Linked DNA regions of Lonchura striata. The protein of the gene in region 1 binds, or shares a complex with, the protein of each later gene. Links are inferred from orthologs where the notes say so. Each region holds a gene or a part of one and is shown in the gene's direction. Other genes may lie near its edges. The genes, in order: MORF4L1, ING3, SIN3B and MEAF6.

Region 1 (7,803 bases):
GCACTGAATTCCTCAGCACTGGAAATGCTGGGTTTGGGAGTTTATCCAACCCATCTGCTCTGCACAGGGAAGGACCCACACGCACTCTGCCCACACTGGGAACTCCCGGGCCAGCCACCGAGTTCCACTCCCAAAGTCCAACCCTGGCAGCTCAAAACCAAAGTTTTTGTGGAAATGAAAGCAAAAGCTCAGTCTCCACATCAGCCCCCTGCCTGCAGCAGGGCTGGGAGCAGGAGCTGAGCCCAGAGGCCCGAGGGCAGCACCCGTGGGTGACACAGAGCAAGGGACAGTACCTGGCACGCCGCAGGACGCCCGCGGGGCCGGGGCTCTCCTGCCCTGCTCAGCCCTGGCCTTGGGCACCTGGCGCTTGTAGATCCTGTGGGGCTGCGCTGCTCCCTCCTCGCGGGGGCTGCTGGACACGGGCTCGATGAAATAGTCCTCGTTCATGAGCTGGAACACGCCCTTCTGCCAGGGAGACACAAAGGGCCCCGTGAGGCCACCTGCAGCCCAGCTCAGCCCCAAGAACCCGGCACTGGGAGCGATCACAGTGCAATGGTTGGGGTGGAGAGGGACCTTAAAGCCCAGCCAGTGCCACCCCTGCCATGGCAGGGACACCTCCCACTGTCCTCGGTTCCAACCTGGCCTTGGGAACTGCCAGGGATCCAGGGGCAGTCCCAGCTGCTCTGGGAATTCCAGCCCAGGCCCTCCCCACCCTCACAGGGAAGGATTGTCCAGAATATCCCATTTACTCCTGCCCTCTGGCAGTGGGAAGCCATGGAGGATCCCATGGAGTTGTGCTCCCTCCAAAGTGCGGGACACGAGCATGAGCACTGCAGCACCAGGTACGTGGGGCCATTTCTGCAAACCCACAGGAGGTTCTAAGCCCTTTCCCCCAAAATGCCACTCTCCAGGTCACTGCTGCCTCAGGAAATACCGACGGTGGAGCCGAGGAAACAGCAAGCAGCTTCACTGCTGCCCACGAGCTGTGCTGTCACAGCACCTCCAGCTCCCAGCCCCTCGCTCACAATCCCATCACGTAGCAGCAGGCAGAGAATTGCTCTTTTTAGGAATTCGGACACAAACAAGTAAACCCAGCCCTGGAGAGCTCCCAAACCACTGCAATCCATGGGAAATTTACAGTCAGCTCGTCCATGGCCGCACCGGACCTGCACGAGGAGATGCTGGCTCTGCTGCGGGGAATTTTGGTGTCACTCCTGGCGGGACAAAGGGTTCCCCGAGGGGCTAGGGCTCCGTGGGGAGGGGCTGTACTCACCAGGCCATCGCAGGTGCTGAGGGCAGCCAGCCCGCCCTGCAGCGCCCGGCCCCGCACCTCGCCGATCATGTGGCACGAGTCGGAGGAGCGCGGCTGGATCTTGGCACCGGCAATGCCCCCGAAACGCCGCTCGCTGACAAAGCCCGGGGCCAGGAGGTGCCTGTTGAGGCTCAGGTTGAATTTCAGGGGCTGCCCTCTGTACTGCAGCTCGTAGAAGGCGGGAAGCTTGCTCCTGGAGGCCGGAGACCTCCGCTGAAGGGCCCGGTGCGACAAGTCGTAGGACAGGAAGGATCCGCGCTCGTCCACCTTGATGGGATGGACGATGTCGCTGCCGGAGCGCGGCTCTGGGGAGAGGGGGTGCCGGGGTTACCCGCAGGGTTCTTCACCTTTCCTCCCACACCCCTTCCCCCGCTGGCGGCGGCAGGGACCGGGACACCAGCTGGATGTGCCCGCTGGGACGGCACGGAGCAGGGACAGCAGGGAGAGCAGGGACATCACAGCAGGGACATCAAGGAGAGCAGGGACATCACAGCAGGGACATTAGGGAGAGCAGGGACATCAGGGACTGCAGGGACAGCAGGCACTTCGCCTGCCCCTGCTGCCCCCGGGGCCAGCGCTGGGCTTTGCCGGGGACAGCATTAAGGTCCGGGTTAGGGCCGGCTGGGCGAGGGGGAGTCAGGCAGCTCCGGAGCCCGGCCCCGGCTTGCCCCTATTAACTCCCGCTGTTAAACTCCAGCTGCAAGGAGAAAAAAGCACCGAACAAACAACGAAAATCTCCCGAAAAATGGAATCCACGCTTTGAGGCGGTGTTGGGACACGCCGTCTCTAGGAGCAAAGCGCCCGCGGAGACTGAGTGCTCCGGAGCCGCCCCGGGCGGGCTCAGCGCGGACAGCCGGGAGGGCACCGGGGCTCCCGGGAGGGCACCGGGGCAGCCGGGAGGGCTCCGGGGCTCCCGGGAGGGCACCGGGCTGTCCGGCTCCGGGCACCGCGGCTGCCGGCTCCGGGCACCGGGCTGTCCGGCTCGACGCCGCCGAGCGCCCCGCGAGCATCCCGCAGACACCCGGCGCTCATTGCCGCGGACAATCCCGCGGACAATCCCACGGACACTCGCGGCTCCACCCGCTCATCCCCGCGGACAATCCCGCGGCTCCACCCGCTCATCCCCGCGGACAATCCCGCGGACACCCAGCGCTCATCCCCGCGGACACCGGGGGCTCCACCCGCTCGTCCCCGCGGACAATCCCGCGGACACCCAGCGCTCATCCCCGGGGACAATCCCGCGGCTCCCCCCGCTCATCCCCGCGCACCCCCGGCGCTCGTTCCCGCGGACAATCCCGCGGCTCCCCCCGCTCATCCCCGCGGACAATCCCGCGGACACCCAGCGCTCATCCCCGCGGACAATCCCGCGGCTCCCCCCGCTCATCCCCGAGGACCCCCGGCGCTCGTTCCCGCGGACAATCCCGCGGACCCCCGGCGCTCCGCGGCCATCCCGCCCCCGTCCCCGCGGACCCCCGCGCCCCTCCCGCGGTCCCGCCGAGCCGTGCCCCGGACCTGTCCCCGCGGTGCCCCCGCCCGCGGCCAGCGCCAGCGCGGCGGCCACGGGGACGAGGGGCAGGAGCGGGCGCAGCGCGGCCGGGGCCGCCATGGCTGCGGCGGGCTGGGGGCTCCGCGGGGCGGGGATATTCGTGTTTGGTGTTATTCATATTGGGGCGGGGTTATGTACATCAGGAGGCGGGGTTCTATTGATGCCTTAAGTTTCAGCTTTCCCATTTTCCGCATTCTGCACTGCTTTAGTCTGTAGCTTGGAGCTTCCTACAGAGTGTCAGCAGCTCCCTCACAGCTCAGTCACACAGAGCAATCCTTTTCCAGCCCAGAGCCAAGGACACCGCTGCAGCTTCAGCACCAAAAAGTGCAAACAATAAATTGAGGAGAGCAACCCGGCAGGATGGGACCGCACAACCTGGAGCTGCAATTGGACAATTAACCCAATATGGAAATGGACCAAAACTTATAAAAGTGTGAAAAATCATGACCTGGAATCCAACTTGGGTGTAGCCACGCTCAGGCTCTTGTACTGCCCAAGGTGTACCCTGTGAAGGGATTTAATAAATCCCTGCTTTATTCCTTTAACTCTGCCCGGTTTTGTTCCAGGCAGCCTCTCAAGGCATCAATGCACGCCGGACGGGCGGGGCTATGTACATTCGGGGCGGGGTTATACCAATTAAAAGGCGGGGTTATGCACATTAGGGACTGGTTTTGCCAATTAAGAGGCGTGGTTATGCACATTAAGGGGCGGCTTTATGCGCATTAGGGGCGGGGTTATGTACATTAGGGGCGGGTTTCTGTGTATTAGGGGCGGGGTTATTCACATTAGGGGCGGGTTATTCGCATTAGGGGCGGGGTTATGCACATTAAGGGGCGGGGTTATGCACATAAGTGGTGCTTAGTCAATTAAGGGGCGCGGTTATGCAAATTAGGGGCTGTGTTATGTACATTAGGGGTTGGGTTTTGTCAATTAAGGGGCGTGGTTATGCACATTAGGGGCGGGGTTTATTTGCGCGTTGCCAGCGTGGCCCATGGCGCCCCCTGGCGCTCCCTTGCCGCTTTGCATCTTTTGCCTGGCCGTGAGGACCGCGATTAAAAAAATCACAAAAATTCAGCGAATTTTCGGTCAGAAATAAAAAACGGTCTTTGGCTGATGCCGCCATGTACTCCCTTTCCTCTGCCGGGGCTGCCTGTCGCTGCCTCCTTTTATTTTCTCTCGTGTTGAAGCGCACCGGGAGCAAACACGCGGGATTACTCCTCTCTGTTAATTACCCCCTCGGGGGCTGCTCGCAGCTCTGGCATCCCACAGCTTCCCCGGGACGGCCGCACCTCCGCTGATGGATTACGTTTGGGACAAAGTTTAATTAGGCGATAATGTTAACTACGCCAATTAGGCGATAATGCTAACTCCGCCAATCAGCCGGGGGCGCGCCCTCTGGCGGCCGGAGCAGGGAACGCCCTTACTGCGGGTGCCGACACCCGCTGCCGCCGCTGGGTGTGCGTAGCGCCCGGCTAGCTCAGTCGGTAGAGCATGGGACTCTTAATCCCAGGGTCGTGGGTTCGAGCCCCACGTTGGGCGCATTGCGTTTTTCCCGTTTTTTCTCGGTTTTCATTAATTTTTTCGCCCCCCGGCCCGATCCGGCTGCTCACGGCGCGGGCAGCCGCGCTCTGGGCAGCGGTCCGGCTGGCGGGGCGGAGCGGGCGGGCGGGACTGCATGTCCCGGCATGCCCGGGCCGCGGCTGCGCGGCGGGGCCGGGCCGGCGGCGGGGCCGGGCCGGGCGGCGCCGGGGCCCGCGGGAGCGGCCGGAGGAGGGACCGGCCCTTATAAATGGCGCCCAAGCAGGACCCCAAGCCCAAGTTCCAGGAGGGTGAGTGCGGCAGGGCCCGGGGCCGTGCCCGGTGCGGGGCCCCGCTCTGGCCCCGCTCTGGCCCCGCTCTGGCCCCGCGGCTCGGGGGGGTTTGGCCCCAGCGCTCCCCGCTCAGCCCCGACCCGCTGGGAATAGGTGGGAAAGCGAATTCCCGCAGCTTTGTCCCTTCCCGGCCTTCCTCTCCGCTCCCGGCAGCACGCGGGCCCTCCCCACCCCGTTCTATCCTTCATTTTCCTGCGCGGATGTTCCTCGGTGTTAAAACGGCTGCGAGCCCTCCGGTGTGTCGGGGGTTTTGTTTTGGTGCGTTTGGAAAATGGTTGTTATTTTTTTTTATTTGTTTGTTGTCGCCCGGAAGGGAGCCCAGTGCAGGAGGATTCATGGAGGCAGCGGTGGATGCCAGCACAGCTGGAATCCACATCTGCCGCAGAGCACCGGGGTTTAGGTGGGTAAGGATGACTCGGGCTGTTTAGGAGGATTTTTCGACGTATATTTGGATTTTTAGGTGATGGTTGAGGTTGAGATTAATAAAGTAAGAGAAACGGAAATAGCAGTGCAGTGTAAGATGGATGCCCCATCCCTGGAATGTCCCAGGCCAGGCTGGACGGGGCTGGGAGCAGCCTGGGACAGTGAAGGTGTCCCTGCCATGGCAGGGTGGGATGAGATCAGCTTTGTTGTAAGGAACAACGTGTGGATCCAGGGATCAGCCCGTGTGTGAGGGAGCAGGAGCCTGCCGGGTTATCATGGAGACAAAGAACCCTTTCTGCGGATCATCCCTGTGTTGTTAAAAATGAATGTTCCTCGGTAACTGTGGGCATCTCTCCTGCAAAACACTGCCCAGCTCTGAGGCTGAGGTGTGTCTGCCACCAGCACTGTGAGCACCGTGACGATGAGGGTGGCAATGCCACCTCTGATTGTCAGCCCCGTCTCTAGGGACATTTTTAAATAAATAAAAGGACCAACTGTGTGATGCATCAATGTGGACAACCAGCGCCTTTTTCTTTGTGAGACACAGAGGCATTTCACAGTTCCACAGCTCATCTTCCCAAAAGCAGAAAGCACTGCAGCTTCCAGGAGGAGATGTGCCCTCAGATATCCTGGGTTCAGCATCCTGCAGTTCCCTCAGTGGAGCCACACAGTGAGGCTTGGCCACGAGGAGATAAAACCGGCCTGAGGGACAATGTCATCCTGCTCCAAAGCCCACAGTGAGGGGGTTCTGCTGCTGCCCAGCCCTGCCCTGCCCCACAGGCTACGTGGGGAAGCAGCATGGGGGTCTCTCTTCCTGACTCCCCTGGGCTGGCAATGCCATGTGCTGCCCTTCCTGCAAGGAGAGGACACGGGTGACAGTGGCAGGAGCTTCAGGTGCAGAGGTGGGTGTTAGACAGTGTCCTGGGTCAGTGACCCCTCAGAGGGGCAGCTCTGCCTGCCTGTGGCTGAGCCCAGCCTGCTGTGGGGGCTGCAGCTCCCCGAGGCTGGGGAGGAGCTCTGGGGATGTCAGGGAGGAGCAGGGATGTGGGCTTTGCTGCCAGAGTCACCAGCACTGTGTGCTGTGTGTGTGCAGCTGCTCTGGCATCTCGGGGATCTCTGCTCTGATCCCTCTGCCGGGACAGAGCATTTGTTTCTGGGGTCAGTCCTGCCTGGGAGCTGCCCCCAGGCTGCTCTGTGCTGTTCCTGGGGCACAGGCTGTGGGCATGGCCCCTGAGCTGTTTCTCTGCGCTGTTCCTGGGGCACAGGCTGTGGGCAGGGCCCCTGAGCTGTTTCCCTGTGCTGTTCCTGGGGCACAGGCTGTGGGCATGGCCCCTGAGCTCTTTCCCTGTGCTGTTCCTGGGGGCACAGGCTGTGGGCACGGCCCCTGAGCTGTTTCCCTGTGCTGTTCCTGGGGCACAGGCTGTGGGCATGGCCCCTGAGCTGTTTCTCTGTGTTTCCCTTGCAGGTGAGCGAGTGCTGTGTTTCCATGGACCTCTCCTTTATGAAGCCAAGGTGGGTGTGGGAGGCTGCAGGTGGCTCCTGCTGCTGCCCAGGAAAACAAGGACATGTTTCTGTCTGCTGTGCCTCTAGATGGGACCAAGGACTGGAACTAAATTTAACAGAAAGCTGTCTGAAATCAATTTCAGACCCTGGGGCTCTATTCCAGAACCATTTCAGGAAGCCCAGTGGCACCGTGCAGCTATTTTGGGAAGCTCCCAGAGGCTGTTAGAACATCCCAGAACACTGAACACTGGAAATATCCCAGAACACTTTGTGCCTGCAGGATTTGGTGCCTGAGCTGCTCAGGGGGAGGGGGCTGAGTACAGCCCGTGGCCTTCCACAGCACCAGTGCCCAGGAGGAGCTGCACTGCAGTGACAAAGGACGTGGCAGTCCCAGTTCTGCTTCCCAGCTCTGGCTCTTTCACCACAGGAGCCTGCAGTGCAGATTTGTGCCCCTGCTGCCTCAGTGTCTGAGTGCCCCACTCCCCCTGGAAGGGAAGGAAAGGGCTCTTGGGGCTGTGTGGGTTGGAAGGTGTGCAGAAATTCCTGGGGCACCTCAGACAGGGATTTAAATCCTTTGGATGTTAACACAGGGAGGCAGGAGAAGCGCTCAGCTTCTCTCTTCAGGAGAAAGAGTTGTTGTAATGCTAAAATCTCTCCCAGAGCACTGAGAGGGTTTGGGCTGCTCCAAACCATTCCCACCTTAGGGCTCCTACTCTGCTCTTTCCTGCCTCTGGATCAGAAGGATGAGGTTGTGGGATTTGTTGGGAATGTGTGCTCAGGGTTGTTGTGCCTGCAGAGAGGAGGGTGATGGAGGCTTCTGGCTTTGAGGCAATGACCTTGTGCCACCCAGCCAGCCCCGAGCTGGAGCAGCTGTGCTTGCCCTGCTCTTGCCAGGGTGGAATGAGTGCTGCAGGAGCAGGCTGTGCCAGCTGGGTGCTGCAAGGGATTTCCCAGCTCACAGGTGGCTTTTGGCTGGCTGTTTGTACCCAGTGGGTCCTTCAGCGTTCCTGCGCTGGCAGAATGATCTTGAAGTTTAATTTTAAAAAGGTTTGACTTGTTTATTTTAAAGAGTTTCATTTTAAAAGCTGCTTTGTCAGTAGTAATGAATAACAACCTTGGCTTTCTTCCTGCTCCTTTGATCTGTTTTT
Region 2 (7,715 bases), on another chromosome or scaffold:
AATGAAAAAAAAAACAGATAAAGAAGTATTCACATAAACATATGGATTGCTCATGTAAGCTTTATTTCCTTAGGAAGTCAGGATAAAACATTTCAGTGATTAATATATAAACAGCAATTGCTCATATCCTGCAGATTTTCAGGAAATAACTGAAATCTGCAAGCAAATTTAACTGACTCTGTAGTAGATAAAATTAACTAAAAGAAGAAGATATAATTGCCTGAGTCTGTACACAAAGTCAAGCTGAAAGATAAATGGCAGTTCCATTTTCCTGTTGACTGTTAAAACAAATTAATTATCTGGGGTTATGGATTTTCTTCCAGAAACAGGAATGTGAATCTCAGAATCCAAGAGTTTGTAATCAGCAGAAAAGGAAACTGATTTCTCAAGAGAGATTAACATCCAGGCACAATATTCCTGGGCCAAATTTGCCCTTTTCAGGGATTGTTTTATGGAAGTGTGAAGTTCCTGCATAGTGCTGCACTAAACTAGGATAACATTATGTACTTAAAACTCTGACACAGCTTTTTCCTAGGATCCAGTTTTGGATGCAGTTTCCTATTACATAAAATTGATTGCTCAGAAAAAATACAATCATGCTGTAATCCTTAGACAGTGCTCAGTCTCAAGACAATTCAGTTATTTAACTAATGTCCTCCAATAGCCATGGTGTGCAGTACAGCAGGAATGATAGTTATTTCCTGCAGAGGGAAAGTGAGGCTGTGGGTGATGCCCCTGCAGCAGCAGAAAGGGTGGAATTTGGGAGATGGTGGAGTCCATGGCAGCTGGGAGGGACAGCTGGACTGCAAAACTGGGTGGACTGGAAGGAATGGAAAAAACAGCTGCAACAGCAGAAAAATAGCAGGCAACAAACAGGATGTGAGGAGGAATTACAATAAAACAGTTGAAAGCATGTGAGGAGACCAGCAGGCCTGATACTGACAATGGCAGCCAGAACTGCTGGGAACTGTGCGATCCACAACACATGCTCGCAGCAGTGCACCGTGGTGAATGGATTCTGGCCTGCCTCACAGGACTGCTGGAGTGCAGCAGGAGCAGGTGCCAAAGAAAACCAAACTGCTCCTTTCTGGTAGTTTAAGAGCTACCCAGGCTTGCAGTTTTATGTAGGCTCTGGTGGATGCCACTTAGCTGTCATTCTGTCTGGAAGTCCTGAGAGCCCTGAGAAACACACAGATGTACATCGCAACCTCTGCGTGCCACAGGCAGGGAAGCTTGCTTGGGAGAAAGCACAGTGCAGGAACCTGCCAGCAGTAGCTGAGACCCGGAATAACAATCTAGGGATGGGCTAGGTAGGTCTTTCCTGATTTTTTTTTTTTTCAAATAATATCCTTAGAAATGTGTCTTTTTTGAAAACAAAGAAACAAAATGTAAGGACTGTAAGTCCAGAAACGCTGTATTAGGTAAGAGTTAAAATCAGAGTACTAAAGTAAATACAGAACTGTGGCAGTCCTAAACGCGTACAGAAAGCTCCAGCAATCAATCATACAGCTCAGAAGATTGAATGGATTTGGAAGGAAGAAGGAAAGAGTGGTATCAACAGATAGACTGCAGCTGCAACACGAAGATGGAAACGATGGAGTCAGATGTGTCAAACAGCTCTACATATGGGAAGAGATAGAAGCAATTAGAATAGAAAAAGGACATTACAGAGATATGGAATGGGTAAGTGCAGAGAGAGGGAGATTTGAAAATCATAACCCTCATCTGAGAAGTGCACATCAGAACATAAATTTATGTTTCAGCTTTTTTTTTCCTGTCAGCTGAAAACTAATGGAACCTAGGCAAGCAATTAGCTTTAGGTAGATCACAGGGCATCTATAATATTCCTTTGTGTCATCACTCCGTCACAGTGATGAAACATGATTTATGTGAAACATTTGCTGGAGAAAAGCCATCAACATTAATAACATTATATAAACAGGAGAAAACAGCAGCTCCTGTGGCCTCCCTTCGCTTCCTGTGCTAAGCAGCTCTGTAGCTGCAAAGGAGTTTTTTGAGCAATGTCGATTGTAATTCACAAATTGAATTTTTTACCTTGAGTTCACAGCTGGTGTTTAGTTCTTTTTCACTGTATTTGCATTCCAATAAACAGTCATTAATCCCTGTTTCCTTATCAGAAGCTGTTCTAATTAGGTTGTTCTAAAAGTTGAGTTAATCAATAGAGTTAATTCTTTGCATTTATAAACAACAGGAAGTTTTCTATTGTAAAAACAGTTTCTTTTTTATGGTCTCTTGGCTTATCACTTCTTAAATGTCACCTTAAACTCAGTGCCATTGCTATGTCATGATAAACAGCTCTGACACAAGCAATCCTATTGAAGCTGGCGTGGCTAGTCATTTGACTATACAAAATGAGTTAATATGGGCAGAAAGGAAAAACATGAGCTTTTTCATTTGTCTAAAAGTACTAAAGAAGACCACAGGTAGATAAATAAGTTCCTGTTTTCTTTTCAATAGTGAACACATTGAATTGTATTTTCCTTTGTAGTTCACCTCACAATCCCCTGCCATGCCTTACTGTAAAGGGAACAGCAAACAGTTTTCTGAGCAGGTCTCTATTTCTATAAGAGACTCACATTACAATAGACCACTACACATAAACAGGGGGAGTTCTGAACTTGCAGACAGCATCCAGCCCCACTAGAGCTTAATTTTCCTGTTTCACTAAGAGACACAGAGCACATGCCATTACTAATGGAAATGGCTGAGACACAACCCCAAGAGCTGTGTTCCTTGGTCTCCTTGGTCTGTGCACCATAACATACATAAAATACCCTGGCACAGTAAGCCTCACTGAGAATTTTGCTAGCTAACCCCAAGCTTGCAAAGATGAGTAGAGGAAAAGTCACAATGTCCCAGTGTTTGTGCTGTCCTGGGATTTTTGGTCATGTGACAAATGGTAGGGACTTACTCTATGACCATATTTCAGTTGCGGTTCTAAAAGTGGTGTCTTTGTTTACAGTATTTTTCTTAGACTTCAGCTGCATGAAATGTGCTCCCCAGCATGTGTACAACTTTTTTTTTCTTTAAAAATCATTAAAGCCACAACTAAGCACAAAAGAAAGTGATGCTGTCAATTCAGATTTCCCCTAAATTCACCTAGCTTTTCTCCTAATAAATATAGGATGTTGTTACTTTGCTGTGCTTTTGCATGGATTAAGTTCTCCTGCTGCATCAAACCCTTTCATTTCAGTAAGGGCAGGCATTTATCTTCCCACAAAGGGTCAATCTTGTGTTTTACATACCAAACTGGGTCAAGCAATTTCCCACACAAAACTCTAAAAATACTGTTATGCCTACACCAGTCAGTTCTACAGGAAAGAGATCTGTATGAGCAATAATAAAGAAATTATTTCTATTAAGACTAACTGAGCTTAATGACCATCTAAAATCTGTTCTCATTTCTATGTGTAAGAGTAGTTGATATTTCTGGTTTGGAAGTGCAGACTACATGGCTGATGATGGAGCGAGTATGGAAAGTGACCATATTGATGAAGCACTTTTTCACAAAGTTGAAAAGTTATTGAGAGCTTATTTTTACACCTTTTTCATTCTCCCCCATCTTTAATGACAAAAGGAATTAAAACCCCTCAACATGCCTGCTATACCATGCGTATTCAACACATTACTACCCTCAGTCATCATAAAGGCTATATACAAAATGTATTGTTTCACTTCCCAAAATTCAGTCATCTTTAACTAACTACTCTCAATACATGAACTTCAGAGATGAGAGAAGTACCACTTTCCATTGGTCTTGGCTCTCAAAAACATCCCATACAAGTTTTACTCATACTTGGCTTAAGCATACATTTCCTTTTTGCTTGGCCACATCTGGCACAGATAAAGACATGGAAACAAAAAGCACAATAGAAAGCAAGCCTCCTCTGTTACCACAATTCTTATGCTCCTATACTTACACCTGGCATCATACAAGACCCAAAATTTTCTTTCCCCAGGCAAAAAAAACAGATCTGGATAAATGCATCAGTCCATGCTTAAAGCAGTAAATAACAGCAATAGAAGAGTGATGAAAAAGACTCTTTGGGGGAATAAAACTCTGAAAAAACCCAGTCTCAAACGAGTGAATTACTGCAAGTATTGTAACTGGATGGCAATCAGTGCTCTTAGCCAAGTTTGGTTTTACACTCTGAACAGCAATCCCAAAGCCCTCTCCTGAGGCTGTCCGTAGCTGTGACCTGCTCTGAACGGAGCAGCTTTTTTAACTTGTGCCGTCAGAGGTCACGGACTGAAGCAACTTCATTAGTTCTGCTGTTTTTAGTGCTTTTAATAAGCCAGTGCCGGCTGCGAGCATCTAAAACAGACAAGCAAAAGCCTCGAGAGTGGTCAAGGATCTGCGAGTTCTCCCTTCCCGTTCGCCTGATTTGCGGCGCTGCGGTCGCGCCCCGGACGCTCCGAAGGGCCGAAAACTGCTCCCGAAGAAGAGCGCCGCAGCCCCTGTGAGGCGGGAACAGCCCGGGAACCCGGGAACGGCCCCGGGACCGCGGGAATGGCCCCGGAGTGCGGGAACGGCACCGGACACGGGAACGGCACCGGACACGGGAACGCCGGGCGGGACGCGCAGTCTCCTGCCGGCTCGCCCAGCACAGACTACGCTTCCCGTGAGGCCGCGCGGCAGAGCGCGGGCCGCAGTGTGCGTCAGCGGCGCGAGCAGCCAATCGCGGCGCGGCCGCGGCGAGCGCCGTCCGCCGCCAATGTTGTTTTCGCTGAGTCGAGGCGCTGGTGTTGTTGGCGGCGGCGCCATATTGGAAGGGACGAGCGCCCGCTCTCGAGCAGCCCCTGGGCGCGGGCCCGGCCGCCGCCATGCTGTACCTGGAGGACTATCTGGAGAGTGAGTGTGTGCGCGGCGGGGGCGCCGGGCGGCCGGGCACGGCCGGTGCGGGGGAGCCGGGGGAGGCCGCGCCGAGGAGGCGGCGCCCCCCCTCCCCCACGGCAGCGAGTGACTGACTGGCTCCCCCCTCTCTCCCTCCCCCCTCTCTCCCGCTCCCCCGTGTCCCCGCAGTGATCGAGCAGCTTCCCATGGATCTGCGCGACAGGTTCACCGAGATGCGCGAGATGGACCTGCAGGTGCAGAGTACGTGAGTCCCGCCCCCGCCGCCTCCGCCCGCCCCTCCGCGCCCGCCCCGCCCCGCCCCGCGGGCACCGGCCCCGCCGCCGCGGCCCCGCCGCAGGGCGGGCAAGGCAGGAAGGAAGGGAGGGAGGAAGGAGGCGAAGCGGCGCCGCTCCGGCCCGCGGCAGCAGCTCCGCCCGCGGCAGCAGCTCCGCCCGCGGCAGCAGCTCCGCCCGCTCTCCCGCGCTGCCCCGGGGCGGTCGCGCCCCCTCCCCAGCCCGGCCCCGGCGCTCGGCCCGAGCGCGGCTCGTCATCTCCCGCTGGCCAAGCCCGTGCCGAGCGGCGCGATGAGCGAGGGGCGGGGCGCACGCCGCCGGCGCTGTCGCGGCTGCCCCCGGCCAGCCCCGCGCCCCCGCCCGCCGGGCCGCGGCGCGGGCGGCGCCCTAGCGGAGCTGCCTTCTGGGCTTGTGCTGCTCCCAGACGCCTTTTCGGTGGCACGTCCCAAACTCTTTAGATTTTTGATCCCTAAGAGCAGTGATGGTGGTTTGGAACATGAGTTATGTCCCACTCCTGCCAGTAGGCAGCGGCATGCTCTCCCTGAAACTTTCCAGCCAGCTCCCTAATAATAACATGGGAAGGTGCCATTTGCTCGGCCCTTTGTGCCCTAGCTGACATGCAACCCAAATATACTTTATGCTCTCGGTTTTATACAAATTATAGAAATGCTTACTTTTGTACAAGTATATATTGTATACAAAATACATTTATAAATACGCATCAGGTTTCTTTGTAGATGACTTTGTATCTCTGCTTATAACCTGATGTAATACACTGCCTTAGGCTGTTTTCAGGCTGCATTGCCATTTCATCTTTTCTAATGCAATCTTGTTTGGAACTTAGGTGTCCTGTAACACCCAGGATAGCTGTTGCAGTCTTTTAACACACAATTAATATGGTTAGCTATAACTGTGATCAAAAAGTATTGATTAATGAAACTGCTACTGCACAAAAGATGAGAGCAAACATCTTTTTTTGCAAAGGGGAATGAGAGAAAGAACAGAGATTGAAACAACAATGGAATACTGTATAGGAGTACAAAATGCAGCACTAAGTGGGATCAGTTCTGTAATACTGTAAATACTGTAAAGTGATTTCCATTGGATATTTATTTCAATGGACCTAACAAGTCTGTTTAACAGGCCTTATTAACACATGTAGAACTGTCTATAGGATTTTTTTTTTGTGTGTGTATTATCACCTAAACATTGTCTTGGGTTCAGTGCTTAAAGTTGTGGGAACTGTCATGGCTCCTGGGACATAGCACCTCTGAAGTCCCTATCACCAGGGAGAATCATGAGGGGGAGTGAGCAGCTCCCTGACATGGACAGTTTGGAATAAGTTCACAAATTTTATTTCATTTCTCTTCCATAAGAAGGCAAAGAGAATACTAGGTTATTTTTTTTTAGGTGTGTTTTAGAACTGAGGCAGCTAGCAGTGCCAAGACAGCAGATTGTAATTTTCTCTGCTTTAACGAAAATTACAAATAACACTCCATGTTGTTTACTGAAAATACTAAATGACATTGAATATTGTGTACTAGGACCAACCTTAGGTGTAGAGAAATTTTTCTTCAGACATTGGAACTTCTGTAATTCTGTGAAAAGATTGGCAAGGTATCCAAAAACATTTATGAAACTTCTGCACTAGCATCTCTTCAGCATGACTTGCCCAACTGCCTGATGAACACTGTGTGCAAACCTGGAGGTTGTTTTGTGTCTCAGAAGTACTTGAAAACAATGCTTTGATGAGTGATGCTGTCCCAGAGATCTACATGATTAGTAATTCAGAGATATCTCTGCTTCTCTGCTTCAGTGTCGTTGTTGACTTTGTATTCTGTCCTGTTTGAACCACAGTGACTCCTAATGAGGCAGGTTCTGCTGTTTATAGTTGGAAGAAACAAAAAACCGGGTCTATCTGCTGTATATTCTGATAAGATTGCTGTGGAAAAAGCAAAGATCATCTGAGCTGGGACTTGACTCTTGAGCTTTAACTGAGCTTCACATGAAGGGTTAAATGTGTTTATTTAAGTTGAAATCATGGATTATCAGGATTTCATGCTAAAATGTCAATATCTAGAGAAAGGACTGTTCTCATGGAAGTTTTGGCAACTCTCTTGTGAAATTTAACTTAAGAAATTACTATCTCAGAATATAGTGTCACAAGAAAAAATGGATGAACTTGAGTGTAGCAGAGAGAACTTAACATATAGTTTAATAGACCTGACCTGAACTTGGCTTTGCCTTTTCTGCTCTTTCAGGAGAGACCAAGTTTCTGTGGAAATTTTCCCCTAGGCAGTTCACCCAGACTGATAACACGTCCTCAATAAAAAGTGAAGAGGGAAGATACTTTTTTATCATTTCTTCTTTATGGAGCCACTAGAACAACTAACACTTAAGGTGTTTGTGCTCAGAGGATAGGAGATAGAACATTTTGTCTTTTGGCTTTTTAGACCAAATTAGAGTCATTTGGTCAAAGAGCAAAGATTTTAGAAGCCTCCATATAAAGTGTGTGCTTCTTGCTTGCCTCTCAGGCTTCTTAATATTCTCTACATGATGCAAGTGGA
Region 3 (7,420 bases), on another chromosome or scaffold:
GGCTTCTTGCCTGCCTTGGTGCTTCCTACCTGGAGCTCGTGGGGTGGCTGTGGAGCAGTGCCTGAGCTGCTGCAGGGTCTGTCCCTACCCTGTGCTCATCCCACTGTGTGGAGTTCTTCACAGGGCTGTGTGTAGGATCTCACCTCTCCTCAAAGGTAGGATCATTCCTGGGGCAGATACAACCCAACAATATTTCTAATTATCCCTCTGTTATGAATGAGATGCAAGAAACACGATAAACAGGAAGGAAGAATTGATTGTGTTCTTCTGAGGAAGAACAGACAATCTTGTGTCCCTCATCCACAGGAAAGTGATGTGAGGACTGTTCTTTGGGATGCATATCCTGGATAATGAACCTGCCCCTGCCAGAAATCAAATTCCAGATGCACAGCCTGTGATCCATGGCAGCAGAAACAGCACAGGTTCCTTTTTCAAATTTCCACACACCTCACCTCAGCTATCAAGAAAGAGTGGGGCTCACAAAAGGAGGGATTTTCCCTGCAAGAAGCACAATAAATTTGGAGGAGAAAAGCCCAGTTTCTGTAGGAGCCCAGCCTGGAGACAAAGGCAGGAGGAAGGTGCTGTGCCTTTGTGCTGTCCATGCCCTGGCCCCATTGGCAGCTGCTTCCACAAATGAGGAGAAAGTGGGTCATTTAGTCGCCAGGACAACAACAGCACACACTGACCTAGATATGTCTGCAGGAACCTAATCTTGCTCCTGGCACAGACCACGGGGTTCAGACAGGACCTGGGGTTCCAGCTGGGGAAACACAGCACATAAACAAGCTCAAAAATGTCCTTTTTCTGTCTGTGGCAGCAAGAGCAGCCTCTCCTGCCTCTCTGTGTGTCACAGCGATGGCACTTGGTCCTGATTGCCAGCTGCTGGTGGCAGCTTCCCAGGATGGCTCTGTGATTGTCTGGAATATGGAAGTTTTTGAGATGCTGCATGCCCTTCCTGGGCACTCTGCTGAGCCTTCTCCAATTTTTGGGGCTGGAAGGCTGCTTTCATGCCTCAGAAGAGCTGTGTCAGCATGGCAGTCCTGGATCTTTAGGCACACAGACATCTCCCAGCCATGTTGTTGCAAAACAACAGAGAAGCCCTCGTTCTGTGAGCCCCTCTCTTACTTAGCTGAGGCGAGGTGTGTGAAAGTGTTTGAAAAAGGAACCTGTGGTGTTTCTGTCATGGACCACAGGCTAAACATCTGGAATTTGATTTCTGGCAGAGGTAGGTTCATTATCCAGAATATGCATCCCAAAGAACAGTCCTCACATCACCTTCCTGTGGATGAGGGACACAGGATTGTCTGTTCTTCCTCAGGTACAAAGGTACCTGTCAGTCTTTAGCTTAAAGGGGCTGAAAGAACCACAGATTTGCAGCCACAACCTTGAAGGTTGCAGCTTGTGACAGGTGAAAACTTGAAATATGAATAATAAGCCATTTCCCAAGTAAGGAAGCCAATCCTGAGCCCATCTGAGGGCAGACAGAGTAGGGGCAGTCTCTCAGATTTCCCTGTTTCACAGGTGAAGGGTGTGACACAATGCACACACCTGCCTGAGTGAGATGCTTGGAAATATCCGAGCAAAGCCAGCTCCTTTTCCCGGGACAAAGCCCTTGTCTTCCCACTGAACTGCAGGCAGGATGTCACTGTTGTTATACGTGTACATGATAATTCATGTACACATATAATGTGTACATGACATAAATAAATAATACATGACAATAAATAAAATTGTCGTATATTTTATAATTATATACTGTTAAGACAAACTCTAGTAAGTTTTTAAGCGACAGGGAATGCAACACAAGATGGAGACCACCCAGACAAGGGAGGGAGGACTTAATTTACAAGCAAATGAACGTGGCCAGCCCGGAGATGGATCATCCATAAGGTGGCCTGAGGCGATAAATACTCGATAAATATCTGAGACTAAGATAGCCAGAGCCATCAGGGAGATACATCTCAATAAGAATTCCAGGAATTGGATCACTCTCAGATATGTATTGTTCAATTTGCCACAGAGAAAAGAACTCCACATGAATACTTGCAGTCCGAAAAGGAAGAAAAGGGACTCTGCCTCGGGCAAGAAATATCGTTTAAAAATGGTCAGATGGGACAGTCGGTGTGAAGCATCCTCTGCCACAGCAGTCAAAGCTGTGTCAGACCCGAGCTCGGCACCGACCCTTTTTTTTTGATAGTGGCTTTTCGTTGTTATTCTCTAAATTTATATTTGGAACATTTAATACATTTTCTTTAATTATTAAATTGGAGTTTTCATTTATAACAAGTGTCATCCTTCCTCCAGAGCCACAATCAAGAGGCAGGAGGAGCAGTTTGCCACAGGCCGGGATGATTTATTCCTAACAGATCCACAGGCCCAGGCACACCATCAGAACCCAGATCCCGGATTTCCTTGGAGATCACAGGGATTCAGTCCTTAGGAGTGCCCTGGGGCCCAAGGGCTCCCTTTGGAAGGTCACAGATCTCCTGCTTGGCAGCTCTCTTGGAGCTCTGTCAGCAGCAACTTGAGCTGAGCTATTCTGAGACACCAGGAGCTGAGTGTCAATGGTTAATGGACATCCAGCTCCCAGGATTCCCAAGAACACCCAAATCCTGACAAAATGTCAGGCACATTTTCCCAGCACCCAGGGCTGGTCTGGGAGCATCCTCACAGCTGGATTCACCAGTCAGTGTTGGTGCTGGCAGGGGCTGAGGGCTGGGAACTGTGCTCTGGCAGAAAACAGAACTCACAGGTGTTACCTGCAGCTGGTTCTGCTCATGTCACCACATGGCACAAACCAGGGAAGAGGATGAGACTTCTCAAGTTAATAATAGTAACAGAAAACAGAATTTGGGCCAGCTCAGGAGAATCCAGGAGGAAAAAATAAAAGAGGTGCAGGGGGTTGGATCAATGATTTTCTTTTGCCTGACAACACACCAAAGATATCTCTGAGCTACTCCTTTCCACAGGTGGAATAAAGGTCTTTACGTTCCCTACCAGGCTCTTTCCTGCACAGCTATGAGTGCTTCATAACCTAGGAGTTGTATTTGGCTCCCACCACTCTTCCAGTATTACTCCTGTAAAAATCTGTATTTATTATCTCTATTCTTAAGCACTGAATAACCACTGAAAACTCTAAAACATCTCCAACCTGTATTTACCAGCACAACAATCTAATGCCATTTTCAGCCCACATCTCTCCTGAAAGGCCTTTGCAGTGCCTGCTTCTCCAAAGATGATAAATACTTGTATGCTGGGTCACTGAATCAATCCACCAGTCTGGCTGCTGAAAGCAGTAACTGTGAAAGAAAAAGTCTTTATTAATTAAATCCTTCCTGTATGAAGGGAAATGGGTCACAGGGCAGCAGTTTGTGCAAGTATCAGAACAGGGGATGGAATATCACATCCAGAGGCCGTGTGTGAGCATCCTGCCTGAAAGCTGCAAACAGCTGGAATACTCCAGCACAACATAGAGAAAAATATTCTGAGCTCAAATACCAGCAGCAAGTTTAAAGGCAAAGCAAGAAAGGCTTCTCTGCACTTTTCTATGATGCAAATCATCTGTAATGCTTTAAAGAAAAACAAATCACACGGCTTTATTTTTCCCCCTCTCCTCTTTGCTCTTCATGTAACTCAGTTTTACTGAGTTCAAATTGCCTGCTGACAGGAACTGCTGGGGGAAGTGGCATATTTTAAGCCTACATTTACCCTGCTACCCCAGAGCAACCCTTGAGCTCAGGGCACACCATTGAGGGGCTCCCCGGGCTCTCCAGCCCCTCCAGCTCCCCCAACCCCCCCATGACTCTCCCAAACCCCCTCATGGCTCTTCTCACCCCGGCTCCTCCACACCCCCTGCCTCTTCCAGCCCCTGGGGCTCCCCCAGCCCTCGTTCCTCAGGCTCCCCACAGGCCCCACCAGCTCCCCCGGCCTTCCCCAGCCACCCCTGGGCTCCTCCAGCCCCGTCTGAGTCTCTCCAACACCCCTCGGCTCCCTCAGCCCCGCAGCACCAGTCGCCGTTTCTCCAGCCCCGGCAGTTCCAGTGCTCAGCCCGCGGCTCCTGCAGACTCCCAAAGATCCCAGGGATCCCGCAGCCCCCCGGGCTCCTCCAGCAGCTCCCCCTGGGCCCCGGAGGCCCCTGAGGAGGTCCCTGAGGCGCTGCTGAGGCGCTGCTGAGGCGCCGCTCCCGCCGCTCGCTCGAACGGCCGGAAGCGGCGCTGGGGGCGTGGCCTGCACGGATGAGGGCGTGGCCACACCCTGTGGGCGGTGAGGGGGCGTGGTCTATGGCGGGGCGTGGCCAATCAGAGGGCGGAGGCACGGAGGGGGCGGGTCTCGCTGCGGAGGGGGCGTGGCCTGGGCCGTGCGCGCTGACGCAGCGGCGGCGCGCGCCGCCGGGGCCGCGCTCGCCCGCCCGACTCCAACATGGCGGCGGGGGGCGGCGGCGGCCGCGGGGCCGGCGGGGGCAGCGCCCCGCGCTGGGGCGGCGGCGGCGGCCGGGCCGCGCCGCACGAGAAGCTGCCGGTGCACGTGAGTGCGGGGGCCGCCATCGCCCCTTCCCCACCCTCCCCCGCCCCCGCGAATGGCCGCTCCTCGCCCCCCCCGGGACGGCCCCGCCCGCCCCCGCCGTGACCTGCCCCGTCCCGGCTGCGGTGCCGAACTCGCCCCTCAGGGCTTGTCCCTCACCCGCCGGTATCGGGGGGTGTCCCGGGGGCTCGTCCCCCTCGCGCCGGGGGCATCCCCGCCTTCCTCCGCTGGTTCCGTGGGGTCCCCTGGGGCTGCATCCCCTTCCCCCGGTTCCGTGTCCTGTTCCCCCGGTACCGTGAGGGCTCCCCGGGCCTGTTCCCCCCTCGCCTGGGCCCTGCCCCTCTCCCCGGCCCTGCTGTTCCTCTCAGGTACTGCGGTCATCCTCCCCAGGGACCTGTTCCCGGCTCCCCGGTGCCGTGCCCCCCTCCGTGCCGTGCCACCCCCGGGCACGGGCAGCCCGCCGGGGCCTGCCGTCCTCCGGTACCGAGTGCCCTCCGCCGCTGCTGCGGGGCTCCCCCGGCGCCGGTTCCCACCCCCTTGAGGGTGTCTTGAGGTGCCCCCGCCCCAGTTCTGGTGCCGTGGGGGCTCCGGGGCCTGTTCCCCACCATGTTCTCACCCCGCAGGTGGAGGATGCGCTGTCCTACCTGGACCAGGTGAAGATCCGCTTTGGCAGCGACCCTGCCACCTACAACGGCTTCCTGGAGATCATGAAGGAGTTCAAGAGCCAGAGGTAAAGCCAAGGTCCTTCACCCCAGGGTGCTCTAAGGACCTCATCAGCATTTCACAGAGGCCCGAACATCCTGAGCTGGGAGGGACCCCCAGGGATCATCAGCCCAGCCCCTGTCCCTGCCCAGACCCCCCAACAGCCCCACCCTGAGCAGCCCTGAGAGCGCTGTCCAAACGCTCCTGCAGCTCTGGCAGCCTCGGGGCCGGGACCATTCCCTGGGGAGCCTGGGCAGTGCCAGCACCCTCGGGGGGAAGAACCTTTCCCTGAGCTCCATGCCAAGGCCTGGCACAGCTCCAGCCCTTCCCTAAGGTCTCAGCCTTTGTGGGGTCTCTCTGCCTTTGCAGAGCCCCCCAGCCTTCACCCCATCATTCCTCCTCTGCACACTCACTGCCCTGTTCCCCAGTGGTGCAGTTCTGTGAAGCTGGAGTACTTCTGCCCATCCCATAATTTTCCAGAGGTGAAATGCACAGGAAAAAGCAAATCTGCTTTTGCTTTCCACTCTGAAACGCAGATCTGGGAAATAAGTGAAGCAACCTGAACAGAACCTGTGACCTGCAAGCTCTGGAGGTGCTGGCTGTCTGTCCTGTCCCTTTGCCAACCTGCACACTCATCTCTCCTCCCCAAGGATAACACTCCCAGGGTGAAGCTGCAGTGGTCATTCCCTCTAATTTGGCTAATTGTTTTTTTAAATAATTGCACCCCTAATTTACTAGATACTTCACATTTCTCTTGGCAGTTTCTGGGCTTAACTTGTGTTTCTGATTTGGATAATAAGTAACAAGCGCCTCTCAATTTTAGCATTGACACACCTGGAGTCATCCGACGTGTTTCTCAGCTTTTCCATGAGCATCCCGACCTCATTGTAGGATTCAATGCATTTCTTCCTCTGGGCTACAGGATAGAAATTCCAAAGAATGGGAAATTAAGTATACAGTCACCTTTGAATAGTCAGGTAGGTCACAGAACTCTTATCCTCTAAATAAACTGTTCCATGTGTCACTGGACATGTCTGCACAGTTTAGGCTGTGGAGATTTATGTATAGTGCTTGTTGCTGATGTTTTTAAAGCCTTTTTAATGGGTGTAATATAAATGTAAATGTTTATGCAAAGAATCATAGAATGCTTTGGATTGCAAGGGGCCTTAAAAATCACCTAGTTCCAACCTCCAATTTATTCTCAAACCAGGTAGTTTGACTTACACAGGAATGATGATTCTGCATGGAAACACCATTTCAACACCAAATATTTCAGTCGTGTTTGGAAACTGAAACTGGAATTGGCTTGACATTGTTCCCAGTATGGGTTGTGGGTAGTGGCAAATTTCAAGGGGTGATCCTGGAAGAATTGCACTTCCAGTCTTCCACTGAGAAACCAGGAAACTTGCTTAGGAAACAGGCAAAAGAACTGTGAAATCATTGAGTTGTTGACATTGGGAAAGGTCTTTAAGATCATGGAATCCCCATCAGATACTGTTGGTGTGAGACCCACTTGCTGGGATACAGATGGATGTCGCCCCTGCTTGATTTTTGTTATTACTGTGTGGAGCTGAAATACAGCCATAAACTGAATTCTGCTGATAAACTTGTGGTGTAAGTCTAGTTAGCAGCAGGAACAACCTTTTAAATCTCAGCTCCCTCAGATCCCTGTGTTGCTTAGGAATTAACACCTGTAAGGGCTGTATGTTTAATATGCCCCTTAAAACTGGCAGCTCCTCTGCAATAACCAGTGTAGCAGAACCTGCAGTGGTGTTTGGTGCAGCCTCTCAGTTGAGGCCAATAAGGCTGTGACAGCCACAAATCAGGTGGTTCTTACACCAGGGAGAACTTCAGGCATTATTTTAACTGATGGAGTTAATAAACCAGGTAGGGAAATTGATTGGTGACTGAACTCCTTTTTCTTCCTTCTTCACGTGACATTATTTTTCAGCTGGAGACTTGCCAGCACTGCTGCTGGGCTGTTGTTCAGCTGGTCCCTGATCTTTTTCCAACCCATCTCGTGTGTCCTGTGCCCCCAGGTGCCCCCAGAGCCCGTCCCCAGTGCACTCCCTGGCAGTGGGCTGGTCTTGCACTACTCCCAGGAGAACTCCCACAACCACAGCGACTGCTCTGAGGAGTTTCGGCAGCAGCTTCCCTACAAAGAAGATAAATCACAAATTCCCTTGGAATCTGATTC
Region 4 (7,835 bases), on another chromosome or scaffold:
TCAGTCCCACGGATGTGAGAGCATTTCAAGGTTTGTGAGAGCATTTCAAGGAGATGTTGGTTTGTTTGCTCGCTGTGATGCACAGGAGTGTGGGTCTCAGATTCAGTCAAAGAAAGAAACTGAGAGTTTCTAGCTGGGCAGAAGCCTGGGAAAGAGCTGGACAAGAATGTAAATAATTCTTTGTCTCTCTTGTTATTCACATTGTTTATAGTTAAGTTCTATCACTGTGTGTCAAGCACTTTGCACCAATAGTTTGGGTTGTTTTCACTTCAGGACCAATGGAGTTGGTCCTCACGAAGCTCTTTATAAAAGAGCAGGGTATTTTGAATAAATCGGAGTTTTACTCTCAGCAGCCTTCTAAGCCAGTCTTCTCATTCCTGTCCTGCCTCGACAGTGACACAGGAGTGCTGCTGCCAGCAGTGCTCTCTTGGAGAACATCTGTCCCAATGCAGGAACTTCTGTGCTACAGCAGCAGAGCTTTAGGGATGATGCAGCCTCTCTCAGAATCCGCTGTCTCGCAGTTTCTTGTTGCTCTCCTTGGTTCAGATGAGTGTTCACTGCACAAACCACTGCTCGTGGAGCACAGTTTGTGCCTCACGTGCTTTCAGCGCCCTTGCCGTGTCTCTGGTGGCTCAGGCAGTGCTTTTGTCCTGCAGGCTGGTGGAGTACACCCGAGCTGATGGCACCGTGGGCCGCAGGGTGAGGCCCTACATCATCGACCTGGGCTCGGGGAACGGCACCTTCCTCAACAACCAGCGCATCGAGCCCCAGCGCTACTACGAACTGAAGGAGAAGGATGTGCTCAAGTTCGGCTTCAGCAGCAGGGAGTACGTCCTGCTCCACGAGTCCTCAGATAAATCTGAGGCCAACGCCAAGGACGATGATGAGGATGAGGAGAAGGAGGAAGAGTCTGACAGTTAACGGATGAGGAAGAAGCAGGGGAGAGGCAGAGGAGAGAAACTCCTCGTGGTTGAACGGGACTGGGATGTGAACACGGAGCATTGCAGCACTGATGCCTCTTGTTGCCTTAAAGTCTTTTCTGTGTTGCTGGTCTGTTCCCATAGTTTGTTTTGGGGGGGCTTTGCTCGTTATTCGTGTTTGATAGTTTTGCATATCAGGAAATACAGCTTTATTTTTATTTTATTTTTCTCCCAAGAAGCCGAAGAGCACCTGGATGTGAAAACTCTGGTGCTGGAAACCCTCCACAGATGTTGTCAGACTCTTCCAGCAAACCATGTCAAACACGGACAGCATCTGGAAAATTTTTATGACTTGTTTTGTTATATCCCTTTGAAAATGCTACAGACTGAAAGGTTATAGAGTACCTGATGCTCGTTCTTTTCCGTAGCTTGCCAAATTCCTCTGCCTGTTGGGAGTTCTGACAGGAGAATTTACCTGAATCACTGCTAAAATGGCAGAAATGTGCAAAGACCCTCATGAATTTGTATGTTTTGGGTATCTAATTTGCCTCATGGTTACTGAGGGATGGGCATTTCACTGGAATTCCACCTAGGAATCACAAGGGAATGTGAAACAGAAGTTAAATAATTCCTGGAATTTCAGGTGATGAGACTGTGACCCAAGTTCCCTGTTCCCACACATGATGCTGAAACTGTCCTGGATGTGGAGTGTCTGGGTTGTAAGCTAGAGCCCTAATTTCTACCCCCACCCCAGGGTTTGTGTCAGACAGAAACGCCTGTGACAGGGTGACGTGTTTTAACCAGTTTGCACTATTTAAGTTCTCTTTTTATAAAAACTTCCCCAAGTCCTTTGTTGAGCACAGTGAAGAAGTCAGTGTTCAGGGAGGAAGCACCAGTCCCACTCAGTGGGAGCTGCAGTTTTTGGTGTCTCCTCCAACGTTGCTTTATGTTCAGTGTGTATATCCCACCCTTCACTGATTTCACCTGGGTGTTTGTGGTCTCACCTGTTCGTCCCTGCTGTGTACAGACTGTACACAAAGGTGCTTGTTGTACACATTGACAGTGTAAATATGGGGCATTGCTGTGGGGTTTCAGATGGGTAGGATGGGGTTTGAGCAGGAGGAGCTCCTTTATATCTGCTCCAAGGGTTTTTAAATAAACAATTTGTAAATTTAGCCATGATTGCTTTCTGTTGTAATATTTTTCATTGGGTGTTTGGGGGAAAAAATGGGGGAAATGGCAATTTTTGGGAAAAAATTGTGGGAAATGGGATTTTTGGGAAGGAGTGACAGCGCCTATCAAAAGATTTGTTAAGCTCCGAATGGGAGGTGCCAGAATTGCTGTACTGCAAAAGGGCAAACTGGCCCCCAAACTGCAGAGGATCGGAGCGACACAGTTTAATAGGATCACAGAAAGGTTTGGGTTGGAGGTGTCAGGAAAACTAACCCACACCTGAGGGTTATGCCCAAAAAAGAGACAGAGGAGTCCTGGAACTTTATTCCAATAAAGGGAGAGGCCATGGGGCATTTCCCATCGAGTCTCTCAAGTTGTTAGAGGATGAAGCCTCCTTTTTATCCCAATTTCTCAGCCACATTTCCCTCTCTCTTTCCCCACTGGCTGAGGTATTTGAGAGGTACAAACTTCCCAATACAGACCCCCTTCTAATGTATACCCCCACCTTTTCCTTGTCAGTCAGTGGAATTCCTATAGAATCAATGCTTCTTCCCACTACTTCTTTCATCTCTCAATATCCAATTTTATTTATCAGCAGACCCACAGTAGATCTGTAAACACAAATCCCTCTCATTCCATTCATCAATCAGTGAAATCCCACTGCTGCTTTTACCTCAGCGCTAGTTTTACCTCCCCACAGTTGGTTTGTAAAGACAAATCCCTCATTGCTTTCAGAGGGACCCTGAAGACTGCAGAACCGGGGAATATGTGAATATCTGAATAGGGGAATATCTGAATATCTGAACTGGGGACTGTCTGAATGTCTGAACCGGGGAATATCTGAACTGGGACTACCTGAATCACTGGGTGGGCAGAACCACCGACCGTTCCCATTCCCATCGCTGCTGTCGCCACCACGTCTCTGTGGCTGTCTCTGTCACTGTTGCCGCTGCTGTCGCTACCGCTATCTCTGTCCCTGTCCCTGTCTCTATCCCTGTCCCTGTCTCTATCCCTGTCCCTGTGCCTATCCCTGTCCTGTCCCTGTCCCCATCCCTGTCCCTGTCTCTGTGTCCCCGTCCCTGTTCCTGTCCCTGTGTCCCCATCCCCATCCCTGTCTCTATCTCTGTCTCTGTCCTCTCCCTGTCCCTGTCCCCTGCCTCTATCCCTGTCCCCGTCCCTGTCCCTCTCCCTGTCCCTGTTGCTGCTGCTGTCGCTATTCCTGTCCCCGTCCCTGCCTCTGCCCCTGTCCCCTGTCCCCATCCCAGCCCCTGTCCCTGTGTCCCCGTCCCTGTCCCCCGTCCCTGTCTCTGTCTCTATCCCTGTCGCCGTCCCTGTCCCCATCCCTGTCTCTCCCCATCCCCCGTCCCTGTCCCTCTCCCCGTCCCTGTCTCTATCCCTGTCCCGTCCTCGTCCCTGTCCCTGTCTCTGTCTCTATCCCTGTCCCCGTCCCTGTCCCTCTCCCCGTCCCTGTCCCTCTCCCAGTCCCTGCCTGTATCCCTGTCCCAGTCCCCGTCCCCGTTCCTCTCCCTGTCCCTGTCCCTGTCTCTGTCTCTATCCCCATCGCTATCCCTGTCCCCGTCCTTGTCCCCGTCCCTGTCCCCATCCCAGCCCCTGTCCCTCTCCCTCTCCCTGTCCCCGTCCCCCGTCCCTGTCCCTCTCCCTCTCCCCGTCCCTATCTGGGTCCCTGTCCCCGTCCCTGTCCCCGTCCCCGTCCCCGTCCCTGTCCCTGTCTCTGTGTCTATCCCTGTCCCCGTTCCTGTCCCTGTCCCTGTCCCTGTCCCTGTCCCTGTCCCTGTCCCTGTCCCTGTCCCTGTCCCTGTCCCTGTGTCTATCCCTCTCCCTGTCCCTGTCCCTGTCCCCGTCCCTGTCCCTGTCCCTGTCCCTGTCTCTGTCTCTATCCCCATCGCTGTCCCCGTCCCTGTCCCTGTCCCTGTCCCTGTCCCTGTCCCCATCGCTGTCCCTGTCCCTGTCCCTGTCCCCGTCCCCGTCCCTGTCCCTGTGTCTATCCCTGTCCCTGTCCCTGTGTCTATCCCTCTCCCTGTCCCTGTCCCCGTCCCTGTCTCTGTCCCCGTCCCTGTCCCTGTCCCTGTCCCTGTCCCTGTCCCTGTCCCCATCGCTGTCCCTGTCCCTGTCCCTGTCCCTGTCCCCGTCCCCGTCCCTGTCCCTGTCCCTGTCCCTGTCCCCGTCCCTGTCCCCGTCCCTGTCCCCGTCCCTGTCTCTGTCCCTGTCCCTGTCCCTGTCCCCGTCCCCGTCCCTGTCCCTGTCCCTGTCCCTGTCCCTGTCCCTGTCCCTGTCCCTGTCTCTATCCCCGTCCCTGTCCCTGTCCCCGTCCCTGTCCCTGTCCCTGTCCCCGTCCCTGTCCCCGTCCCTGTCCCCGTCCCTGTCCCTGTCCCTGTCTCTGTCTCTATCCCCATCGCTGTCCCCGTCCCTGTCTCTGTCCCTGTCCCTGTCCCTGTCCCTGTCCCTGTCCCTGTCCCTGTCTCTATCCCCGTCCCTGTCCCTGTCCCCGTCCCTGTCCCTGTCCCTGTCCCTGTCCCTGTCCCTGTCCCTGTCCCTGTCCCCATCGCTGTCCCCATCGCTGTCCCTGTCCCTGTCCCTGTCCCTGTCCCTGTCGCCGCTGCTGTCGCTGCCGCCGCCTCCCCCGCGCTCCCGGCTCCGCAGCGCCCCTGGCGGCCGCCCGGCGCCGCCGCTCCCGGCTCCGCAGCGCCCCTGGCGGCCGCCCGGCGCCGCCGCGCCCCGCCCCGCGCAGGCCGCGCCGCCATGGCCGCGCTGCACGCCAAGGCCGGCGGGCCGCCGCAGATCCCGGACACCCGCCGGGAGCTGGCCGAGCTGGTGAAGCGCAAGCAGGAGCTGGCGGTGAGCGCCGGGGCCGGGCTGGGCGCGGGGCGGGCGGCGGCGGCGCGGCCGGGGCGGCGGCGGGGCCGGGCGGCGCGGCCGGGCCTGCTCCATGCGCGGCGGCGTTCCCGCAGGAGACGCTGGCCAACCTGGAGCGGCAGATCTACGCCTTCGAGGGCAGCTACCTGGAGGACACGCAGATGTACGGCAACATCATCCGCGGCTGGGATCGCTACCTCACCAACCAGAAGTGAGTGGCGGAGGCGCTGCCCGCCGGCCCGGGTCCCCCGCCCGCCGGCCCCGCCATCCCGCCTGTCTCTGTTTCAGGAACTCCAACAGCAAAAACGACCGCAGGAACCGCAAGTTCAAGGAGGCCGAGAGGCTCTTCAGCAAGTCCTCGGTCACCTCGGCAGCGGTGAGTGCCGGGATGAGCCCTGACCGCTGTGCTCACCCCTCTCCTTATCCCTGGCCCCATCCCTTTCCTTGCCCCCATTCCTCTTCCTGTTTTTTCCCCATCCCTCAGTCCTGCTGTGATCACCTGCAGAATTACTTCCCCATTTGCAATCCCATCCCTGCCCTGGCTCCCTGCCCTAAGCATCCCCATCCCAGTCTCCATTCCCATCCCTTTCCTTGCCCCCATTCCTGTTCCTGCTTTATCCCCATCCCACCCCTGTCCCTTGGTGCCTCAGTCCCGCTGTGATCACCTCCAGAATGACTTCCCCATTTGCAATCCCATCCCTGCCCTGGCTCCCTAAGCATCCCCATGCCACCCTGCAGCCCCTTCCAGAGCCCTTTCCCAGTGTTTGGGGTGGGAGGGTGCCTGTGCCTGCTGTCACCGCTGTCCCCTGGCTTTGTCACCAGACCCCCGGTGCCACACGGGGCCATGGGCATCAGAGGGACGTGTCTGTGTGAGCTGGGCTCCATGCTTTGAGCACTGGGAAGTGAATCCCTGCTTGGCTTGACATCCCATTTGGTTTCCCAGGCTGTCAGTGCGTTAGCTGGAGTCCAGGACCAGCTCATTGAGAAGCGTAAGTCCCTTCATCACTTTTCTCTGAATTTGGGAAGAATTACACTGTCCCCCACCATTCAGCCCTGTCTCAGCCTTCCAGATCTGGGCTGGGGTCTGGCTCCCCTTCCCAATCCCTGTGTCTGCTGCCCTCGGGCTGCTCCTGTTGACTTCCCAAGTTCTTTCCAGGCTCAGAGGGCTTTGTTGTGTGTAAAAGGGACTGGAATTGCTTTGGTGCTGTGTGGAGGAAGAGGCTGGACGAGCTGAAGCACTGCATCTGTAGATGTGTCAGTCACAGGAGACCTGGGGAGGGACCACACACCCCCAGGACACTGAAAAAACGTTTTTGTGATCAGCACCAAAGGGGATGTAGTTCCTCAGTGCTGAGGAGCAGCTTCCTGTGTGTCCTGCAGGGCTGTGTCCCAGGCTCTGTGATTCACCTGGTGCTGCAGGGCTCAGGTGCCTCTGCTGCTGTGCTGGGGTTGTTTCTCCCACTCAGGGCTGTGCCAGGAGCTCACCCTGGTGCTCACCTGGCTTTGTCCTGCTCTAGGGGAGCCGGGCAGTGGCACAGAGAGTGACACTTCTCCAGACTTCCACAACCAGGAGAATGAGCCCAACCAGGAGGATGCTGAAGAGCTGGATGGCTCCGTGCAGGGTGTGAAGCCCCAGAAAGCTGCTTCCTCCACTTCCTCTGGGAGCCACCACAGCAGCCACAAAAAGAGAAAGAACAAAAACAGACACAGGTCAGTGGGACCAGCAGCCTGCTCACCACACCTGGACAGTTGGCTGGGGCTGGATTGAATTTATTGCCTGAGGGGAACCAGTAGCACGTTGGAATAACCAACAGGCAGCTGGGGTCAGTTGTTTGGGTGTTTTTCCTGGTTTTGGAAGAGGAGGGGAGAGTGCCAAGGAAGTTAAACAAGCAGCACAGGGTGCTCACTCCAGCTGTGGCACAGCTGTGCTTCTGGGCAGCTTCTCCAGCTCTTCCATCTCTCCAGGATAAAGCTTGTTCCTTCCATCAGGTCCTGACCTCCTGAGCTTGCTGCTTGGTTTCTGTAGGGCAGGAATGTTAGTGCTTTCTTTGAAGGAGGGTGGAAAGCAAATGGGAATATTTTTGGGGTTTTGGACACTCCCAGTGTCTGGATTTCCACTGCAGCCCCTTCCAGCTCTCACATCCCTATGGAGTCTCAGTGCTGGCATAGAGGAGTTGCTGTGTCACCTTCACCTGAGAGTGTTTGTTATTAAACTGACCTGAAATTTATGTGAAACAGATTCCTTGAACTCTTTTCTGGTTGGATTTACCTGTCCAGCTCTGCCCCTAAGGTGTCATGAGGGCGATGAGCTGGTCCCTGTGCCCTCAGCCCAGGCTCTGGCAGTGACAGTGCCTGTGAGTCAGGCCCTGAGGGAGGAAAGCTGAGGAGAGGAGATACATGGAGCTGTCTGGAAGGATTGCTGAAGCTGGGGCCTAGGGATCTCACAGAAGTAATGGAGCTTTTAAAACCCTCTAGTTTTAAAAGCTCTCAGAGCCAGTCTGTGCTGGCTCTGAGCTGTTGCCTCTGCCTAGGGACAGGCTCTCCTCTTTAAGGGACCTGCCATGCAATTAGAGAAAGGATTTAAAGTGGTAAAAGTTTAAAAGGGGGGCTGGGGTAGTTGGGGTGGGGACACGAGGTAGGTACAATGCTTGAAAAATGCTTAACTCCTTTTTTGCCTTCATTAAGTGTTGAGTCATTAGTGTGTCTTTAATTCTTGGGTCAGAATTTCCTTCCTACAGCAGCTTGAATTGGGCAAATATCCGAAAGGACTGGATGTCCCTTTGGTTCCCCATGGGCTGGGAATCCAAAGAAGTTCAAATCTCTTTTTTTGCCTGTAGATATTTGGAAGAAGTTCAGGAATAACACAAG

The links.
Region 2: MORF4L1 (region 1) and ING3 share a complex: the UniProt entries of both Homo sapiens proteins name them as parts of the nuA4 histone acetyltransferase complex. The link is inferred for Lonchura striata from reciprocal best matches to the Homo sapiens genes MORF4L1 and ING3.
Region 3: the proteins of MORF4L1 (region 1) and SIN3B are in contact, whole or in part, in a cryo-EM structure (PDB 8BPA), measured with the Homo sapiens proteins. The link is inferred for Lonchura striata from reciprocal best matches to the Homo sapiens genes MORF4L1 and SIN3B. Residues at the interface, in NP_996670.1 of Homo sapiens: Gln217, Gln219, Tyr222, Ser348, Tyr350, Glu351, Val352, Ala353, Pro354, Pro355, Tyr357, His358; in NP_056075.1 of Homo sapiens: Cys394, Arg396, Arg402, Ala403, Pro405, Lys406, Thr407, Tyr408, Ser462, Phe463, Pro464.
Region 4: MORF4L1 (region 1) and MEAF6 share a complex: the UniProt entries of both Homo sapiens proteins name them as parts of the nuA4 histone acetyltransferase complex. The link is inferred for Lonchura striata from reciprocal best matches to the Homo sapiens genes MORF4L1 and MEAF6.

What each region holds. Positions count from the first base shown.
Region 1 is NC_134613.1:23,960,861-23,968,663, reverse strand, and holds the start of MORF4L1 (mortality factor 4-like protein 1), read left to right. Parts: upstream 1-4,802; 5' UTR 4,803-4,929; coding exon 4,930-4,987; intron 4,988-6,617; coding exon 6,618-6,664; intron 6,665-7,803. Other genes in the region: ADAMTS7 (A disintegrin and metalloproteinase with thrombospondin motifs 7), read right to left, coding at 294-465, 1,274-1,617, 2,260-2,434. UniProt on the Homo sapiens protein: Component of the NuA4 histone acetyltransferase (HAT) complex which is involved in transcriptional activation of select genes principally by acetylation of nucleosomal histones H4 and H2A.
Region 2 is NC_134607.1:32,932,709-32,940,423, reverse strand, and holds the start of ING3 (inhibitor of growth protein 3), read left to right. Parts: upstream 1-4,704; 5' UTR 4,705-4,845; coding exon 4,846-4,873; intron 4,874-5,044; coding exon 5,045-5,116; intron 5,117-7,715. UniProt on the Homo sapiens protein: Component of the NuA4 histone acetyltransferase (HAT) complex which is involved in transcriptional activation of select genes principally by acetylation of nucleosomal histones H4 and H2A.
Region 3 is NC_134630.1:3,955,825-3,963,244, reverse strand, and holds the start of SIN3B (paired amphipathic helix protein Sin3b), read left to right. Parts: upstream 1-4,419; coding exon 4,420-4,524; intron 4,525-5,144; coding exon 5,145-5,251; intron 5,252-6,046; coding exon 6,047-6,200; intron 6,201-7,262; coding exon 7,263-7,420.
Region 4 is NC_134628.1:4,680,967-4,688,801, reverse strand, and holds the start of MEAF6 (chromatin modification-related protein MEAF6), read left to right. Parts: upstream 1-4,831; 5' UTR 4,832-4,853; coding exon 4,854-4,949; intron 4,950-5,062; coding exon 5,063-5,178; intron 5,179-5,255; coding exon 5,256-5,343; intron 5,344-5,910; coding exon 5,911-5,956; intron 5,957-6,484; coding exon 6,485-6,677; intron 6,678-7,804; coding exon of another isoform or gene 7,805-7,829; exon of another isoform or gene 7,830-7,835. Other genes in the region: SNIP1 (smad nuclear-interacting protein 1), read left to right, coding at 657-921.